Arabidopsis thaliana: one gene and its partner. Each later gene encodes a partner of the first gene's protein in a complex. Each region holds a gene or a part of one and is shown in the gene's direction. Other genes may lie near its edges.

Evidence for each region. The genes of interacting proteins can lie anywhere in the genome.
Region 2: the proteins of FRO1 (region 1) and EMB1467 are in contact, whole or in part, in a cryo-EM structure (PDB 7AR8), measured with the Arabidopsis thaliana proteins. Residues at the interface, in NP_201560.1 of Arabidopsis thaliana: Ile55 (codon at 2,625), Tyr57 (codon at 2,631), Ser58 (codon at 2,634), Pro59 (codon at 2,637), Ala60 (codon at 2,640), Arg61 (codon at 2,643), Thr62 (codon at 2,646), Ala63 (codon at 2,649), Thr64 (codon at 2,652), Gln65 (codon at 2,655), Ser66 (codon at 2,658), Ser68 (codon at 2,664), Leu71 (codon at 2,673), Val79 (codon at 2,697), Thr81 (codon at 2,703), Leu82 (codon at 2,706), Lys83 (codon at 2,709), Glu85 (codon at 2,899), Thr92 (codon at 2,920), Asp103 (codon at 2,953), Lys126 (codon at 3,022), Lys128 (codon at 3,209), Lys129 (codon at 3,212), Asn131 (codon at 3,218), Thr132 (codon at 3,221), Pro133 (codon at 3,224), Leu134 (codon at 3,227), Leu135 (codon at 3,230), Lys136 (codon at 3,233), Val137 (codon at 3,543); in NP_568550.1 of Arabidopsis thaliana: Gly61 (codon at 2,408), Gly62 (codon at 2,411), Ala63 (codon at 2,414), Arg64 (codon at 2,417), Val65 (codon at 2,420), His66 (codon at 2,423), Lys87 (codon at 2,486), Gly88 (codon at 2,489), Phe89 (codon at 2,492), Thr90 (codon at 2,495), Gln93 (codon at 2,504), Glu96 (codon at 2,513), Val97 (codon at 2,516), Asp101 (codon at 2,528), Arg104 (codon at 2,537), Tyr107 (codon at 2,546), His108 (codon at 2,549), Ser109 (codon at 2,552), Leu111 (codon at 2,558), Ser112 (codon at 2,561), Ile113 (codon at 2,564), Ala135 (codon at 2,630), Gln175 (codon at 2,855), Glu178 (codon at 2,864), Cys179 (codon at 2,867), Asp180 (codon at 2,870), Asp183 (codon at 2,879), Asp266 (codon at 3,224), Lys288 (codon at 3,290), Ala289 (codon at 3,293).

The regions. Positions count from the first base shown.
Region 1 is NC_003076.8:26,955,758-26,960,816, forward strand, and holds FRO1 (NADH-ubiquinone oxidoreductase-like protein), read left to right. Parts: upstream 1-2,157; 5' UTR 2,158-2,315; coding exon 2,316-2,474; intron 2,475-2,621; coding exon 2,622-2,710; intron 2,711-2,894; coding exon 2,895-3,024; intron 3,025-3,205; coding exon 3,206-3,235; intron 3,236-3,542; coding exon 3,543-3,599; 3' UTR 3,600-3,800; downstream 3,801-5,059. Other genes in the region: TRB2 (Homeodomain-like/winged-helix DNA-binding family protein), read right to left, coding at 86-445, 543-626, 700-784, 869-1,089, 1,167-1,316; WIH1 (cysteine-rich TM module stress tolerance protein), read right to left, coding at 3,997-4,042, 4,180-4,336, 4,424-4,469.
Region 2 is NC_003076.8:14,895,263-14,901,907, forward strand, and holds EMB1467 (NADH-ubiquinone dehydrogenase), read left to right. Parts: upstream 1-2,147; 5' UTR 2,148-2,227; coding exon 2,228-2,648; intron 2,649-2,753; coding exon 2,754-3,000; intron 3,001-3,096; coding exon 3,097-3,391; intron 3,392-3,470; coding exon 3,471-3,845; intron 3,846-4,190; coding exon 4,191-5,086; coding exon of another isoform or gene 5,087-5,090; exon of another isoform or gene 5,091-5,172; coding exon 5,173-5,185; 3' UTR 5,186-5,385; downstream 5,386-6,645.

The DNA.
Region 1 (5,059 bases):
AAGAAACCAGTAAACCCACTAAGTATATATATTTTATGGCTTGCTTTGTTACAGAACTTCCCCATGATGGCTATTTCTTTCTGTTTCACCAAGGATGATTACGGATCCTGAACTTCAAAGCTTTCATGGCTGCCTTTGCAAATATCTGAGCAGCTTCAGCTTCTGCTTCTGCTCTTTCTGCCTCTTTTGCTGCTTGTTCAGCCTCTGTGATAGCAAATTCTGCCTCTGCAACTGCTCTTGCTGCAGCCTCTGCAGCTTCTTGAGCTGTCATGCCTTTTATCATATATAATTCACCGTCTACTCGGAATTTAGTGAGACTGTTGGCACCGTTCTCCTCGGGTTTTGTTGGGTCTTTCTTGTTGTTTCCTTCCAGAAAGAGTTGAGGAGCCTTCTGTCTTGCACCTGCGGGAATAAAATTAGAAGAAAACCTGTACTTGTGCTTTATCTGAAAGTGAGAAATCACCAAGTAAGTATTTTTGAAAATTCTGAGAGTAATGAAGTGTTAGTGATCATGAATCTTGAATCAAAAGTTGTGTGTTTACCTTAACTAATGTTCCATTCGATGATAAATGCTTTAATCGTACTGCGACATGCCTTTTCATATTCGGTGGAGTCTTGAAATTCTCCTGAAATTTAACAGCTACTAAGTAAGTATGCAACAAACCCCAACCAAACATGTAATCCCAATGGTAGAAATACCTCTATATACAGAAAGATTGATGTTCTGTCAGAACCGCGTAGTTCCCTCAAGTTGGTAATTGCCTCAAAGATGATCTTATCCAAACTACAAAAACAGACAATAGCGCAAGATCAAATCTTTATGAACTCAAGAAAATCGTTATGTGGTGCATAAGTCAGGGAACCAAACCTTGTAATTGATCTCTTAGAAGCACAAGTGCGTGGTGATCCACCACCAGAACCTCCGGGGGAAGTTGGTTTTGCACGTTCATCATCATTAGTCAAAGCCACAATGGTAAGAGCTGTGTTGTTATCATCCTGTTTAGTACCTGGTGGAGTCCTCTTAAGCGCAAGTTTAGCCTTCTTCCTTGAACCCCATAAAGCTGTCACGCTTATATTTCTCCATTTGTCCTGTTATGCCTTGAACTATCAAGATTAGTCCGAAACACGCGATCACAACCTCCAAAAAGCATATTATATTGTATTACCTTAAGATCAACATTAGAGCGAGACTTAAGGATTAAACTAAACTCAGTATCCGAGAGTATGGTACGCCACTTCCCAGTCCCATGCTTAAGAACTCCAGCTTTAAGAGCTGCTTCTTCTTCCGGTGTCCACTTCTGCTTTGGTGCACCCATCCACAGTTATCAATATTTGAATTTCTTCTTTTCTCTGCCAATAGATGTGAACGCTAACATTAGAATCTGTTAAATCGTACGAAACTTAACCACATCAAAGCCATTGTTGAACATTTCTTATCCAATACAAAATTTTGGTCATCTAAATCCAGCAGATACACAAAGCCACAACATAAAAATGTAACTACACAAATCCAAAGAAATTAGATACGCCCCAAAGCTCAATTCAACAAAAAAATGAGTGATTCGAGCAATCTCGAACCAAAAAAAGAGGATCAAAGCCCATTAACAACGTCGCAAATCAACAGGAATTTGGAAATACAGCCATCAATCTAAAGCGATAGCTAAATTATCAACCAAATTCAAATGGGGCGATCGTAGAAAATTAAAAACAAAAATGGAAAATTCAGAGAAGGAAGCAGAAAGGAGGAAGGAGGAGAAGAAGCATGCCAGATCAAACGAAACCAAAGGAGAGTTTTCGAGAGAGAGACTTGATGATGAAAGCTAATTCCTTGTATAGATGTGTCATAGATCAAATGTGATTCGCTGAAACGAACGAAGAAGAAGAAGACCAGAGAGGCTAGCATAAGGAAGAAGAATATCCATAGAAACGAGAAACAAACTTGAGCTTTTCTTTTGTATTCAAGCTAAGGAAGATGTAACCCTATATTTCTCCACATTCACAAATTTGCCTCAAGTTTATCAAATTACACAATAAAACCTACCAACTAAATGAATAGGATCAAGCTGAATAAAATATACTAGTACTATTTTTTAAAAATAATGTATCTATAAAATTTATCGTTGTTAAATCTCACAGATAGTTTAGGGGCTATTAAAGATTTTTCATATAATAGTAAGACCGAAAGCGTAATTTATAAAATTTTGATGGCTAGATTGAAATATGTGTTTTTTTTTTCTTTCTAAAATCTACAGAAGTAGAAGAAACCAAAGCGAAATCAAAAAGCTCAGCAATTTTCCAGATTTCTCTAATTGACGATGGCGCTTTGTGCTACTACTCAAAGGACTATCCGTATAGCGGCGACGCTCCGGCGTGTTGCTCGACCTTTCGCTACTGACGCGGTGGTTGAGTCGGATTACAAGCGTGGTGAGATCGGTAAGGTCTCCGGAATCCCAGAGGAGCATCTTTCTCGCAAGGTAAATAAGCATTCGATTTCTTACGAATTCAGTTTAGAAAATTAGGGTTCGTGATCAGAGAATCGTCTTAATTGAGCTACATCGTGTTCTTGATTTGATTTTGGTCAATCGAATAGTGCTAAGAGTATTGAATTTGGAAATTAACAGGTGATAATATACTCACCTGCTAGAACAGCTACCCAGTCAGGATCTGGAAAACTCGGAAAATGGAAGATTAACTTCGTCTCCACCTTAAAGTATGCTACTTTTTGATTAAGATAATCCTCTTTTCCTCACATTTTATGTCCTAATATGATTCTTATCCTTAAAATTCCTATCTTTTCAAAACTTAAGTCTTCTGCTTGTGACTAGTACTAGTCCATCACTTGTTGATTAGATTTCGATTGACATCACTTATCTATGGCATTCATATGTTTCTAGGTGGGAGAATCCGTTGATGGGATGGACTTCTACAGGTGACCCCTATGCTAATGTTGGTGACTCTGCTCTTGCTTTTGATTCTGAAGAAGCTGCTAAGTCTTTTGCTGAGCGTCATGGTTGGGATTATAAGGTACGTTGTTTCCTTCTTCGTTTTTAGCTCATTTTTTTTTCTGGTCGCATTCACTCACATTTTATGAGAATGTGATGGTTCTGTTTTTTTTTTTTTTCGATCACCATTGTGATGGTTCTGTTTTAAGATCCCTTAATATAGAATTCAGAGTACTGAAAAACTTACATCTAAATCATTGCAGGTCAAGAAGCCCAACACACCATTATTGAAGGTTAGTAACTATCTTTTTGCTAATGCCGCATTATGACTTACGAGCTCTACTCATATGAGGTGTTTAACCCTAAAGCTGGAGATTCACTGGAACGACCCTTGAATGTTGTGTTAAATAGATAGGATATTCTTTAACTTAACTCATATTGCTTCATCAGAAATGGTTTGGTGCCTCTAGTTTAAGATTTAGCTACTAGTTTGACGAGCGATAGTCTCTTTCATTCCTTTGATTTATTTGGTAGAACATTCTTTAGATTGAAGTTTTAACCTAACCCCATGATTGTTCATCATCTAACATCTAACTGCAGGTCAAGTCTTACTCGGACAACTTCAAGTGGAAAGGCAATCCTCAACCAGAAAACTGATGTTACACCTTCTTCCAATTCTTCTCGAGCAAAAGAAGAAACCTCATTTGATATTAATTCTCATGTTTCTTTGTTATTTTAGCATCTGTGAGCTTTTTGGTTGAAAAGAACCATTATCCATGGCTATGTTTACTTATTACAATAATATGATGATGATGATGAAACACACTCCTTTGATATTTCATCAAGATTTCTGATCACTTCTTTACTGGTTTATTTCGAATTCGTGTGATTGGATTATGAAAGAGAGAGATAATTATGGTCGGAGTCAATAAAACATAAGATACCAAAATTCGAATTGAAAGAAGATAACAACAGAAGAAAGATTGTTGAACATTACATAACATATATGAGGAAATAAAAGTTGACTGAGGCAACGTATATAATTATCCTCCGATCAGAAACATGCATCCAAGAGACAGCAACAACAGAGCGCAGCCAAACTGTGACGTATTTATGAACAGAGCAAAGACATATATTAACTAATACAGTATTATTCCACTAAAACCTAAATACAAAGCAAAACAAGAAACCAAAATAAAGTTAATATAAAGTAGAAAAGATGGGATCAAGAACGTACCATCCTTCAAGCATACCGGCGTTTTGCTTCTGCTGCGGAGCTTGAGAGTACTGCGGCGGAGGATAACCTTGTGCAGGGTATCCCTGAGCATATCCTGGCGGTGGATAACCGGCTGGAGGATAACCGGCCGGAGGATAACCGTCCTTAGGTGGATACCCTTTAAACCGAAATTCAAGAGCAAATTAAACAAGCAGATCGAAGAAGATAAACCAACTATCCAAAACTAAAGAAAAAGAGATAATACCTTGGGGAGGAGGAGCACCGACAGGATGTTGTTCTTGATGATACATCTTTCTTCTTCTTCTGAGTTCTTTGAGCTTTTTTTTCTTTCTCTCTTTGTTTAAAAGCAAACTCTGTTCCTTTCCTTTATAACGAAGCTATGCCGGTGAGGAATAATGATATATACTTTTAATTTAATAAAGGAACCAGAAAATAAAGGAAATATTCTTTAAATAAAGTCTTTCTTGCATCATAAAGATTACGATTAAATTTCTTTGAAAATTAGGTGATCTTCTTCTAATGTGCTAGAAACTTGACCGTACAAGAATTTAATTTCAACTACTCTACTACTAGAATCATTAATTATGGAATAAAAATATCAGAAAAGGGGTTCTTAGTAATCATAAATTTACACTGTTTTAAATTCTAACTCCAAAATGCTGCATCATATGTTTCAAATTCAAAAGAATTAAGCAAATTATGTCAACAAATTGACAAAAAAAAGTTTAAGTTACTATGAAGTTAAAATCACTATTTGACACATAATTTACCCTCTTCTTTTGCTAATACAATGAATACATTTCCGTCAATTTTTCAATATCCATCGTTATCCTTGTACTATCATAATAGGAGAAGAAAACCAAATATAATACAACTTCCT
Region 2 (6,645 bases), about 12 Mb from region 1:
CATGTCGATTGTCGAACATATATCATTGTTTTTTTAATATAAAAAATCTCATCTAAATTAAAATTTGGAATTGAATTGTACGAACGGCTAATAAAAATTTACCAAAAGATTACGATGCTCCAAATCTGGATGATGATTCCCTAAACCGGTTTTTGTGAATCATTTCTAGCATAATCGAATTTAAGTTAATCTGGACTAGTGTACTTGAACATTCACGGGGTAAGTGGGGGAGTTATTTTTTTTTAAGACAATAAATCTGTTGTAAATTGATGTACTAGTTATAGACATTAATGGGTGTGTAACAGCATTTCCTATATGTTTAACGTAGGATTTCTGTTTAAAGTAAAATCAAAATTTACATCAGGTTTTGAGATTTTTAGTTTTAAATTTTCCAAATGGTCGGCTTTGTATAAAACCAAGAGAAGAAATTAAATATACACGAATATGAGGACGTGTCCAGAAAAAGAAGAATATCGACAATAAAAATCACCTAATTTGCATCTAAATATTGACTTTCATAGTACGCTAGAGATAATCAGTTCATCTTCACCTTATTCTTTGCATTGTGTAAAAGAGAGATTATGCAGAGTTTCCTAGTTGACGAGAATGAGATAGCAGAGATATTTCTTGTTTTCGTTTTGCACTTTAGAGGTACTACCTTATCGAGTTGTATGAATATGATTGTCTTGCTTCTATTTTTTTTTTTCATTTTTGGCTTTGATTGAATAAAGGTGAGAATTTTTATTTATTTTTCGCAAAGTATTTCCTTAAAATATTAGTATTTCGGTTTAGATTAGAACAAATACGAGACGATAAATAGTTTGATAACAAAAAGCTATATATGTTGTGTTTCATATCTTATCAACTCGGTCACATCCTCTTTCCATTGGATGCAATTCTTTTTCATAGAAGAACCACTAATTCTTTTTTTTCTTTTGCCATTAACCCAACAATTTTTATTGTAGTTAGTGGTTCTCCCTTATGTTTCTTTGCCTTGGAATGTAATCACTCTGTTTTGACAAAAAAAAAAAAAGAAGGAATGTAATCACCCTGTTTGACAAAAAAAAAGAAAGGAATGTAATCACTCTGTTTGACAAAAAAAAACAAGAGAGGAATGTAATCACTCTTAAAGTGATCTATAACAATTTGAAAAAGTGTCATATTTATTAGCTATAACTTATAACTTTATAAGTTTTGAATGGATGCAGTGGACAAAGCGGTATACTTTGTATGCGGTTTAATCTACCTTATTTTGAGGCGGACAATAAACCGCTGTGGACCAAGTTTATTTATATGTAAAAATAGTTCGTGGATGATTCACAGATGATCTGTTGCGGTTTTCTTCTTTTTTTTTTGTCCGGACCACTGTGCACTATAATTGATTAATGGTAAATAAAAAACAGTCTGATCCGTTGATGGTTTTGTCCGCCCGAACCGCCGTAACCATTCAAACCCATAATTAAAATTATAACGAATTACTATGTAAATTTATAACTAAAACTATCAAATTAAACGAGTTAAATTATACTTATCATGTCTGCCTGTAATGATAAGATAATATATATCAAAGCTTATGAAACTTCATTTTTTTTTTTTTTTGGTTGTCATTGCAAAGGTTAGATTAATAACAATATCACTGATAATGATGCTTACACGTAAACCTAAACAAACGAGGAAAATAAACTAACTCTTACACGTAAACCTTAACCGATGCAGCATAGGTGTTGACAATATTTTCTTTCCTTTTATTTAAATAGACGACGTTGAGATGTTTAAAATTGTCATCATTTATAACCATATTTTAAGTTGTCTTTATCTGAAATATACAAATGTTCAATTAGTACATTGACCTAAAAGTCTCTAGGACTAATGATTGATTAGAGGTTTATTTTGCTAGAGGTTCTAATATGTTGTATGGAACTAGAAGCAAGATTGTTTTAAACTCAATGTCATTAAGTGAATTAGAGAAAGATCATCAAAACTCTTAAACTATATCTCCCAAAATTAACTTAATTCAGTTTGAAAAGAAAAAGCCCACAAAGCCCAAAACTCACTCATTCATAAGCCAATTATAATATCCAAAATAAAAGCCCATAAAGCCCAAAACTCACTCATTCGTGTCTCCTTCTCTCTCGCACAAATGCTTCAGGAGTTCTCACAACAAGATCGAGAAATACACACATAGAAGACGAAGAAGAAGAAGAAGACGATACAGATCCACAACGCCATGGGTTTAGGCATCTTAGCTTCTCGAACAATTCGACCAGCTTCACGTCTTCTTCAATCTCAAACCTCCAATTTCTTCCTCCGCACAATCGTCTCAAAACCAGAGCTCCAATCTCCTGAATCCGCTGCTGTCTCTGAGCCTGAGCCGCCGACACAGATTCTCCCTCCTAGAAACCCTGTAGGTGGAGCACGCGTCCACTTCTCGAATCCTGAAGATGCGATCGAGGTCTTTGTCGATGGTTACGCGGTCAAAGTCCCTAAAGGATTCACTGTTCTTCAGGCTTGTGAGGTCGCTGGAGTTGATATCCCGAGGTTTTGTTATCATTCTCGTTTATCTATTGCTGGAAATTGCAGGATGTGTCTTGTTGAGGTTGAGAAATCTCCTAAGCCTGTAGCTTCATGTGCCATGCCTGCGCTTCCTGGTTAGTTCGATTCCAGGAAAATTTCTATGCTGATGGATTGATTTTGATCGTTGATTGGTGGAATATATTTGGATTTGGTGCTATTGCTAAGAGTTTTTGTAACAGGGATGAAGATTAAGACTGATACACCGATAGCTAAGAAGGCGAGGGAGGGAGTGATGGAGTTTTTGTTGATGAATCACCCTTTGGATTGTCCTATTTGTGACCAAGGAGGAGAGTGTGATCTTCAGGATCAGTCTATGGCTTTTGGATCTGATAGAGGACGTTTTACTGAGATGAAAAGATCTGTTGTTGATAAGAATCTTGGTCCTCTTGTGAAGACTGTTATGACTCGGTGTATCCAGTGTACAAGGTTACTAATATAGTTTGCTTATAGTGTGATGTTTTAGTTAATGTGATAGATACGCTATCCTGTTGATTAGGTTTTGTATGTATAATGTTTTTGTAGGTGTGTACGATTTGCTTCTGAAGTTGCTGGGGTTCAGGATCTTGGTATACTAGGTCGTGGTAGTGGAGAGGAAATTGGAACTTATGTTGAAAAGCTTATGACCAGTGAACTCTCTGGAAATGTTATTGATATCTGTCCTGTTGGAGCCTTGACCTCAAAGCCTTTTGCCTTTAAAGCCAGAAACTGGGAGTTGAAAGCAACAGAAACTATTGATGTTAGTGATGCTGTTGGGTCCAACATCCGTGTTGATAGTAGAGGACCAGAAGTAATGCGTATCATTCCACGCCTGAATGAGGTATGTAATGCTTTTGTTCAAAAACACTATTTTTAAAAGTATTTTGCTGGATGTTGAACTTGTGAATGTTCTTATTCAGGATATAAACGAAGAATGGATATCTGACAAAACCCGATTCTGTTATGACGGCCTGAAAAGACAAAGGCTGAGCGACCCTATGATCCGAGATTCCGATGGACGATTCAAGGCAGTGAGCTGGCGTGATGCCTTGGCTGTTGTGGGTGATATCATTCATCAGGTGAAGCCAGATGAGATTGTTGGAGTAGCAGGTCAGCTATCTGATGCGGAATCCATGATGGTACTGAAGGACTTCGTTAACAGAATGGGCTCAGACAATGTATGGTGTGAAGGAACAGCTGCTGGTGTTGATGCTGATCTTAGATACAGTTATCTGATGAACACTAGCATCAGTGGACTTGAAAACGCCGATCTCTTCCTTCTCATCGGTACCCAGGTGAGATTTCCACCCTGTCTTTTTTGTATGGTTTCTGGTACCGGATTAGACAGACCGCTCTGTATTTGGAACAATGACATAAGAAAAACCAAATTGTGTAGTTTGATACTTTGATTTAGTGGTGTGGCTTAAGGTTCTGTGCATAATTTGGAATACAGAGGCAAATAGAAAGGAGAAACAAGCAAAATTAAGTTTCTAAAAAACAGATCAGATGTTAACATTTCGCTTGTATTGAATATTCCTGATCCAGACCAATCTAGATCAAGCAAAACTTGCTCTTCCAGATATCAAAGTTGTGAAGGTTTTTTAGCAGTACATTCACCAGTTTTTGTCTATTTTTACCAGCCTAGGGTGGAAGCTGCAATGGTGAATGCTAGGATCTGCAAGACAGTCCGTGCATCAAATGCCAAGGTTGGATATGTTGGTCCACCTGCAGAGTTCAATTACGACTGCAAACACCTCGGGACTGGGCCTGATACTCTCAAGGAAATTGCTGAGGGACGGCATCCATTCTGTACGGCTCTCAAGAACGCCAAAAACCCTGCAATCATTGTTGGTGCTGGGCTCTTCAACAGAACTGATAAAAATGCTATCCTCTCTTCTGTGGAGTCCATTGCACAAGCCAACAATGTTGTCCGACCAGACTGGAACGGTCTCAACTTTCTCCTTCAGTATGCTGCCCAAGCGGCTGCTCTTGATCTTGGTCTCATTCAACAGTCCGCCAAAGCCCTCGAGTCTGCAAAATTCGTCTACTTGATGGGAGCAGACGATGTAAATGTTGACAAGATTCCTAAAGACGCCTTTGTGGTTTACCAAGGACACCATGGAGACAAAGCGGTTTACCGTGCAAACGTAATTCTCCCTGCATCGGCCTTCACTGAGAAAGAAGGAACCTATGAAAATACTGAAGGATTTACCCAACAGACTGTTCCAGCTGTTCCAACAGTTGGTGATGCAAGAGATGACTGGAAGATTGTGAGAGCCTTATCCGAGGTCTCGGGTGTGAAGCTTCCATACAACTCAATCGAAGGTGTTAGATCAAGAATAAAGAGCGTTGCACCAAATCTAGTCCACACAGATGAGCGAGAGCCAGCTGCTTTTGGGCCTTCATTGAAGCCTGAGTGCAAGGAGGCAATGAGCACAACACCGTTCCAAACCGTGGTTGAGAACTTTTACATGACAAACTCGATCACAAGAGCATCAAAGATCATGGCGCAGTGCAGTGCCGTGCTCTTGAAAAAGTGAGAGCTTTAACTTGGGTTTTCACATTTTCTCTCTTTTCGCAAAAATAAAGATACTGATTCTTCGTTTGCTGTCCTCTTTATAGACCTTTTGTTTAAGCCTGAGTATCACTGTATCTCGGGTTTAGCTTGCGGTGAAATCTATAAGCAATTTGCAATAAGCACATTGTTAGATTCAAAACTTTGCAGTGTTAATTGGATGCTTTGTGGCATCTTGTATTGTTCTTATTAGGACTCCCTTTTACATTTGCATATATGAATTTGGAGGCATGGCGATATATACAATCTCTACTTTTATCGTTTGTTCTTAACCATTGTGATTGTTACAAATAATGCAAATCTTGAAAGGATTAGATGGTTTCCAATGTGAGATGATCACTTGTGAACTAAACTGTTTTTGACAAGTTATGTTACCTAAAATCATTTCAGTTTCAACTTTGTGATTGGTCATAAAGAAAATTTCAGATAGATTATGAAAGACAATCACAAGTAACATATAAATTTATTTTAGAAAAACTTACCTAAACCAATCAATTTTTTTTTATAGCTGGGATAATTAATCCATCCAACTTTTTTTATCTTTCTCAAACAACCAACTTTTTATTATCAAATTGCTTTCTTACTGATTAGGTCTTATATCTAAAAGTATAATATAAGCAAAAAAATTATTTAATTTAATTAATTTTAAATAACCTGTTTTTTTTTTTTTTTGAACTTCAACACATTGTTTATTGGTTAAAATCCATGCTAAATGGATAAGATTTTTTTGATACATGTCCAAATCTTGTTGACCAATAACACATGTAAAAAACATTTTGTTAGTTTTTTTTGGGTAAGAATAATTAGTATATGTAAATATTCTTTTAATTAGTTTTTATTTTCTGTAAAAGAAAACAAAAAAATAAAACAGTTGTTGATATCTAATCGAGAAAGTTACCCGTGTCGCAATCATGTGAGTTACTAATTTTGAAAACCAAAGTTTATATAATAAAATAATTATACCAAGTTAAGTTCATAAGTTAGTAATCTAGATTTACACATTTTTATACAGATACACAATACATGTAATAACAATAATCATGTACCATAACACTTAATAAAAAAATGAGTTAATTATATAGTTCAAATTTTATGAAAAAGAAATCATGTGTATCTAGAAAATATTAATGTTATTTATATTTCTCTTTATCTCATTTATTTTGATATTATTATATAAATCTCTCTTTACTCTTTGATTGCCACTCCAACCTTATTTCTTAGAGAATATGAAATTAAGTTTTCCAGGAAAGTTGTTCTTCTTGTTAGGTTATATCCTATGTTTCAGCGATATATCGAGTTTCAATAATCATTTTGTGGATGCAGAAACATTGCAAAATTTCACCTCATTTGAAATGGAAGAACAACTTAAAGTCATCGACGAACATGCAGCTAAAATCATCAAAGTCCGTTTAATTTCATCTTATTTTCTTAGAGCTGCACTCGTTACCTTGATTTATACATATATATATATATATATATATATCTGAATTTTGTAGAGATATGTGAAGTTTACAAAATAT